2 linked regions of the Struthio camelus genome follow. The protein of the gene in region 2 interacts with the protein of the main gene of each other region in a pairwise test. Links are inferred from orthologs where the notes say so. Each region holds a gene or a part of one and is shown on either strand. Other genes may lie near its edges.

Region 1 (3,743 bases), on a different chromosome or scaffold from region 2:
TCACGCTCTGCAGCTTCTAGTCCTTTCCCACTCTGTCCCTCACGCCTGCACTGCTATGCGTGCAACAGCACAGGGTGCTGACACACGGAGCTGGACTGAGGGAAAGGCAAAAGCAAATAAGCAGGCTAGTGTTTAGGCACATTATCTCCCCGAACTGGCTCACTACGTAGTCCCTGCTAGCACAGCGGAGGCTGCGAGAAACCATGGCCAGGATGATGCAGCCCCAGCTTAAGTTGCGTTATGGTGCTATGGAGCTCAACATTAGGGAACGAGTCTACTCTGGAAAAATACACAGGCCTGTCAGGGCCCTCTTGCCGTGGGGCTGTCGGCCAACAGAAGAGTGCGGGCAGCACAAAATAGCTATGGTGGCAGTGATGATGCAGCATTCGTTGGAAACGGCCTTTTAAATGGCTCTAAAGTAGCTTCTCCCTCCTGTGGCAGGGGAAAAGAGCAGGACCAAGACCATACCCACTTTGGCCTGCAGTGTCATGGAGCTGTGCCCTGTGCAGGCGGAAGGAGGAAGAGCTTGGCAAATGGAAACAGAGGCAGGGAGATGTATTTAAGAGGCTGTTATGCAGATGCATGCTGCTGGTGCTCGAAGGCAAAGAGAGCACTTTAGGTTTTATCACAGACTGCTCAAAAGAGACAGTTAAGGATGCCTGAGCGCTTATGTTTAGTTCTGTAGTTTGAACTTTTCATGGTAAGGATGAAAAGTTCACTGTGGGAACAGCTTGGAAGTTTTCCTAGCCTAGTCAAGCTAGTTTTCCTAGCTTTTAGGCACAAGCTGGTCCAAGGGACACTTTGCACCTGGCACTTCTGGGAGCCTTACAAGTCTAGTTCATCTAATCTCATTAAGTTACTCCAAGTTTGTTTTCTCATGATAATTATCAGGGGACAGGAAAATTATCTTACTCCTCTTTCAGACGTGTTGCAAAAGAAGAGCAAGCATTGGCAGCTATTGCAGAACAATGCAGCTTGCTATGGCTTGTGGCAGCAGCTGGTATCTCCTGTTCGTGCTCTTACTTGTCTCTCTCAGCTTCTTTTTAACAGGTGTGCTGGTACAGAAGTTGAGCATAACTTCAGTGGATTTTCTGGCTCCTGCAAAAGCATCAGCATACACCGTGGGGCCTGTTACAACACGGCTCAACCACAGCTGCTTGCAAAGGGTCTGTGTGCTGCTTAGAGCTAAATGAACTGAAAAATACACAAACCTTAGACCAAATTATTTAAAGAAGAATAACATATATGTCCTTTTCAAACACATGAGAAACTACACTTTCAGATGCTACTATACATTTGTGTTTGTTTTTCTCTGGCCTGTGTTGGACTATGTTTTTCTCTGGCTTGCATTTGAGATTGCTTGGGGACTTTCTTGACCAAGAGCACCATTTAGAGGTCAATTCCTTAACTATTTTTAAAAAGCAAATTACCTGTCTAGTGTGACAGCCCTCACTGTGGACTAATCCATCCTCACTTCTGGCCGTGTACCTCCTGCCGTACCTTGAACGGCAGCCCAGTCAGCCAGGGGCTCTCGCTCCTCTTGCTCAGCCACGTTGCCTGTTTACAAAGTCCTTTGCCTCAACCCTTGTGTTCACTTGGAAGTGCAGACACCAGCCTGCCTGCAATCGCTGCGCAAGCACTTCTGAGCACGTGGAACAGGGAAATAAACTGAACAGTAACAAAGCTTAAAGCACCAGGTGTTTTCACCCAGGAGCTCTGAAGGATCTCTGGGATGAAATAGCTCAACTACTAATGATGGTGTGTAATTTCTTGCTGGAAGCATCACCTTCATACTTAAAGACTGCCAGGTGATGAGAAATGTGTTAAGTTTTAAAAAGGATTCCAGGGGACACCAGAGAAAGCACACATTGGTAAGCCTGACATCTCTCCTGCATAAATCAATAGAAATTACAATAAAGAGAAGAGAAGCCACGGAAAAACAGGGCATGTTTTTTGCAAAGAGAAGTTTAAGCTCAAAAGCAGCTGCCAGTTTTCTGAGGGAGTCAGCCAGGCTGATAGCATTTGCTCAGGAACCCAAACACCTTCAGCGAGCTCCCCGGCCAGATGTAGTTAAGGACCAGCTTGCGCTGGGCTCGGTAGAAAGGGCTGTACAACAGGTCAGTAGGGAAAGGGTGGAAGAAAGCGAGGTTAAAAGGAAGGAAAGCGCAGGAAGGTATGGAGGAAGGTGGGGAGGACCCCGGGCCGCCCCGGCAGCTGCTGGGGAGCCCGCCCGGCCCTGCCCCGCCATTACCTCAGCGCGTTGACCGGCGGGTTTCGGAGGCGGATGACGGCCACGGCGGCGGCACCCCTCACGTACTGTGCCATGGCGAGCACTGAGCTGCTCTGCTCTGCTCCGCTCCACCCGGCCCGGCCTGGCCCGGCCCCCGGGGCGGCCCTGGGCACCCTGCCCGGGAGCGAGGGGCCCCGGCAAGGAGCAGCCCCGGCGAGGAGCGGCCCCGGCGAGGAGCGGCCCCGGCGGTGCCTGCCCCGCCGCGGTGTGTCCCGCTCCCACAGACGGCCACGTGCACAAAGACACTGGTCTCATCTCTGCCTTCATTGCTAGTTTGCCCACCTCACTCAGCAGCAGGCCCCTGTTATCTTATCCTTGGTCTTCCTTTTGCTGCCGTTAGAAACCCTAGAGAGCCACATGCTGCTGCAGGCTAAGGGCAATGAATTACGGACCTTTCTCGAGGTAGAGATCAATGAGAAATGGCTATACGTTCCCCTGTCTGGAGGAACAAATCGCTGAATCTGCTGAAGCAGAGACTAAAGAGATGCAGTGATTAGTGTTAAGAAGTGGTTTCTAACAAGTTATGGATGCTCAGTCTCTTTGCACATTATTTTTATATATAGTCCCTCAGCGCAATAGTGAGATACAAACATGCCTTCTGGAAGGAGCACACTTTCCCTCCCTCAGCACGGGAGGTATGAAAACACATAGCACAGAGCTGCTGAACTATAAATCCCCGTTTCATCACAAAGCAGCACTGTGCATACACACAAAGTGATGTATTTCACCCCATGTACAAGCACAGCACAGAGAAATCCCCCCGGGCTCTTAGGAGAGAAGCATATTGTTGAACATCTTTCCTTGCGTTGGGCAAGGACAAGGCACTGATGGGTCCCTACACATCCGGAGTCCCGGTAGAAGGGTAATTCACAGGAGTATGAAGGTGCAGCCACCATTGAGATAAGCAGCGCCTCCACCTTGATGGGCACCCCGCTCTCAGCAGGTCTCATGTCCTGGCAATCAGGCCCCTTCTTATATTACTGTGGAGATTCAGAGCCCCCAGAAGACATATGTTGGATTCATAAACACTGAGCATAGGGAACTGAGCTGGCTTTGACCCAGAGCCAAGACTGTGAAGTGCTACAGTCACCAAAAAAGGCTGCTAAGACATAATTTATCTGCAGACTTTCACTACATAGGTAACTAGTAGAGCCTGAGTTGTGGGGCAATTGCCAGAAAATGATGAAGGGTCTTGTAAGAGCAATTTTTTATAGCATGCTAAAACACAGTCTAAACGCCTGGCAGGGTCACAGTGTAGATGCACACTCAATTAGGACAGCCACAGTTGTTTGATTTCAACTGATGCTGACATAAACCAGAGCCTTTGCCATACCTGTGCTGACATATGTTTGGAAAGCATGCTGCACATTATTGTTGCTTTATGATATGCAACAGGTGCTTTGCTTTTAAATAGAAAACTTCTGTTACAAGGGTTGGTGCTGTTAAAAACTCT
Region 2 (3,743 bases):
CTAAGTATTATATGTATACGTATTATTTAAATTAATCTGTATCTTGGTGTGTGTGTCTCATGTTACAGGTTCCTTTGGGGGAATGATGCTCTATTTCTGCTTTGTACAGCACAAAGCATCCCATTCTGCTTAAATAAATACTACAGAATCACACAGAATCACAAAACAGTTGAGGTTGGAAGGGACCTCTGGAGATCATCTAGTCCAACCTCCCTGCTCCAGCAGGCTCCTCTAGAGCGTATTGCCCAGGATCACATCCAGACGGGTTTTGAATATCTCCAGCGAAGGAGACTCCACTACCTCTCTGGGCAACCTGCGCCAGCGCTCTGTCACCCTCACAGGAAAGAAGTTTTTCCTCATGTTCAGATGGAACTGCCTGTGGTTCAGTTTCTGCCCGTTGCCTCTTGTCCTGTCTCTGGGCACCTCGGAGAAGAGCCTGGCTGCATCCTCTCGACATCCCCCCCTTTAGATACTTGTACACATTAATTAGATCCCCCCCTAAGTCTTCTCTTCTCCAGGTTGGAAAGTCCCAGCTCTCTCAGCCTTTCCTCATAAGAGAGCTGCTCCGTTTCCTTCATCATCTGAGCAGCCCTTGGCTGCACTCGCTCTGGCAGCTCTGTGCTCCTCTGCGTGCTTGCACGCCTCGTCTGGTGTGCCGTTAGCCCACCCAGTCAAGCATGCCTTCAGGGATTCATCTGCTCGTGCGGACAGAGTGGCAGCGTGCGCACATGACATGTTTTTCCCTGTCAGGTGCTCACCTCGGCTCTCCCGTGGTCACCGTTTCACTCAGTCTCCTAGTGTTGCGGCTTTCCTAAATTTCTAAGCACTTTACGGAAGCAGGAAAAAACAAACCAAAGCAAAGCAATGTCTGAGAAGCGGAGTTTTCCCGCAGCGTCGCCCTCGGCGGAGGGCATGCGGCGCCGGAGCCGAGGGCCGGGGGGGTGCCCGAGCGACCACCCCCGGGGGCGGCCGCGCAGGCCCCGCCGCCGCGCAGCTCCCGCGCGGTCCGGCAGGGGGCGCTGCGGCTCGGCCCGCGGCGGCGGGAGGTGGGCGCGGGCGGCGGCGGGCGCTGCGCGGCGGCTGCGCCCCGCGCCGCTATATAACACCCGCCCGCAGCCCCGCGCTGCTGCCGCTGCCGCCGTTGCGCAGCGCGGGCGTCTGCTGCAGCCTTTGTCCGCGGACGGACGCGGGAGGAGGGAGCAGCAGCAGCAGCAGCAGCAGCAGCAGCGGCGCGGAGCCGAGCCAGGTGAGCGCCGTGCACCGCCGTCCCCCGTGCAGCCGCAGCGCCCCGCTCCGCTGCCCTGCCGTCCGGGGTGCCCCGCGCCTCCAGCCCGCAGCGCCCGGAGCTCTTCTTCCTCCTCGCCCTGCGCGGGCGGGGCGCTGACCCCGGTTTGGGGTTGCTGTCCCCTCGGGAAAGCCCTGCCGCAGCCCGGGGCGCTGCTGCGGCCCGGCCCCGGGCGGTGCTGGGGGGAGCCGGGCACAGGCGCGGCCCCGGGGGTCGCTCCGGTATGCGGGCGTCTGTGCCCGGTGCTGCCTTCTGCGTGGGAAGCACCGCGCAGGGAAATTGGCGGAAAGTACTTTGAAACGCAGGCTGCTCTGGCTGCACCGCTTGGAAATGCTAATGCTGAAAGCAAGGAAGGTTTGTGGGCTGCTGGTCGTTGCTACCGGTGGTGAGGGCATGTGTTGAGATGGTAAAATAATAGTGTGAAACCTACTTATTAAAATGCTCTCATATATATATTATCAAATCTATTTGGCCAAAAGTTCTGAGGAAAGTAATAAGTGGAATGGCTGGTGTAGGCATTGCTCTCTGTGCAGCATCAGGTAGAGACTGGTAAGGAGCTGGGTGCTGGAGTGGGCTGGGGACCTCTGGCTTGGGCTGTGCACTCTCCAGTTGATGAAAGTGGAGAGCTCAGTGCAAGTATTGAGTTTACAGCACTCAGCTGGCCTAGAGTGCTAAAACTGCAGTTAAACTCTGCCCCTTTCATGGAGTTAAATAGCACTTCATTGTTCTTTCTTAAGAATGATGAAAGATAACAAAGCAGCTACTGTAAATTATGAACTGGCATATAACTTCAGTAGGAAAGGAAAGAACAAACCCATGGAAGATAGGACAGTGGGCACAGGTCTCCCTACTCAGATAAAACACCCCTGCTTGAAAAGCTGTTCATCTAGATTGGTAGTTTCCAACCCTTTTTAGGTGGATCTCAGAGCCTTTAATACTTTCCTGCCTCTTGATCTCTCCTACTTTTGCTTCTGCTTCTTCCTCCTTCCCTGGTTGATGTCTCCTCCTGGAGGCAGCAACAGCATGGGGGTGCTCTGTGCCTGCCCCCTCCAGGTCAGCATGTGTTCCCAAAGGGCACCTGGGTTGGGCAGCCAGCAATTCTGGATCACTCCAAACATGAAAAGGGCAAGCCAGCAAGACCCTTGCCATTTATTACTGTATTAAAAACTTTGAAGAACAAAAAAAATTCTCAGCAAGCCAAGCATTAGAAATACTTACTGATACTAAAGTAGCAGTAGCAAATAATTAAATGTCAAGTGTTGGCATACAGGTTATTAGTTTGCAATGGATGACTGCATTAGAGATGTACTTGGCAGCCAACTGAACTGGTTATAACATAATGCATAAATGCCTTGTTTTCATTTGTAATATCATATGGAAATTGTTTTATGCTCTTTTCACTATGTAGTGTTTATGGGTTTTATTTTCTCACCCCCAACTTGAAGCAGGGGTGTGGCTTTTCTGTATCTCCTCCTGCATAAGCTTTACTAGACTGTCCTTTTGCATTGCAATTAAATATACCTCACTACTTGTCTCCTTCCATCTCTGCAGTCTGGTAAGGAGAGCAGTACAGTCTGTGGTGCAGGAGAGTGGTAGCACTAAGCTATGTGCATGAAGACAGGGCTTCATTTCTCACTTTTTTGCTTTATCTTGTGACCCTACAGAATCAATGTGCAAAAGCTGGTTCTGTAAGTGATTCTTTGAATGATCCATTCTCAGAGTTTGGAAGTCTCTACCTGAGACCAGGAGGGTGAGAAAGGATTTGCAAGGCTTGAGCTCATGTGGTTTGTATGAAGTAGTTTTTGACATGCTATCACTTATTTTCTGTATATTCATCTCTTCAGGGACAGAAGTAGAGATTTGGTGACTAATCTAGATTTATTTCAGATGTTGAAAATGACAGATGTAGGTTTGGGTCAGATACAAAGCTAGCTTACCTTTACAACAAGGCTTCTAATATAGCAAAGTTTTTTTTTGTAGGATGTTATCTATTGTATTAGTGATTGTAATACACATGAAGATAGCTTAAGCCTCTTGGCCTAAATATATCTGAAGTATATTTCTATACAAAACACATCTATAGTATGGTAAGCAGTACTTGATATTTAGCAGTATAGTGGAGAGAGGAGAGCTTGCAACACTTCTGCTGTATTTAACCTGACACAGAAGTGCAATTCTCCAGGTTCTGTAAAGCACAACAGCACATCATAGGCTGTACAGGAGATACACTACTCAGTGAGTAGTAGTCTTCTGGCATTTTAAAAGTTTAGAAGCCAAAAATTTGGATTTTTTATTGTACATTTATTAATTTGTAAGTTAATGGAGGTTACATCAGAAATCATCACAGGACAGAATTGCAAGGTCTGAAATGTTGACTCTAACAAAATGGTAGATGAAATGAAGAAAAGCACAATAGAGAATGAGGAAAAAACTAATTTAAACAGCTCATACAGTGGTT

What was found. The genes of interacting proteins can lie anywhere in the genome.
Region 1: the proteins of MTUS2 (region 2) and EHHADH interact in binary tests that used the Homo sapiens proteins (3 or more experiments, as listed by UniProt). The link is inferred for Struthio camelus from reciprocal best matches to the Homo sapiens genes MTUS2 and EHHADH.

The regions. Positions count from the first base shown.
Region 1 is NC_090950.1:5,246,614-5,250,356, reverse strand, and holds the start of EHHADH (peroxisomal bifunctional enzyme), read right to left. Parts: upstream 2,377-3,743; 5' UTR 2,326-2,376; coding exon 2,252-2,325; intron 1-2,251. UniProt on the Homo sapiens protein: Peroxisomal trifunctional enzyme possessing 2-enoyl-CoA hydratase, 3-hydroxyacyl-CoA dehydrogenase, and delta 3, delta 2-enoyl-CoA isomerase activities. Catalyzes two of the four reactions of the long chain fatty acids peroxisomal beta-oxidation pathway.
Region 2 is NC_090942.1:200,186,074-200,189,816, reverse strand, and holds the start of MTUS2 (microtubule-associated tumor suppressor candidate 2), read left to right. Parts: upstream 1-1,052; 5' UTR 1,053-1,246; intron 1,247-3,743. UniProt on the Homo sapiens protein: Binds microtubules. Together with MAPRE1 may target the microtubule depolymerase KIF2C to the plus-end of microtubules. May regulate the dynamics of microtubules at their growing distal tip.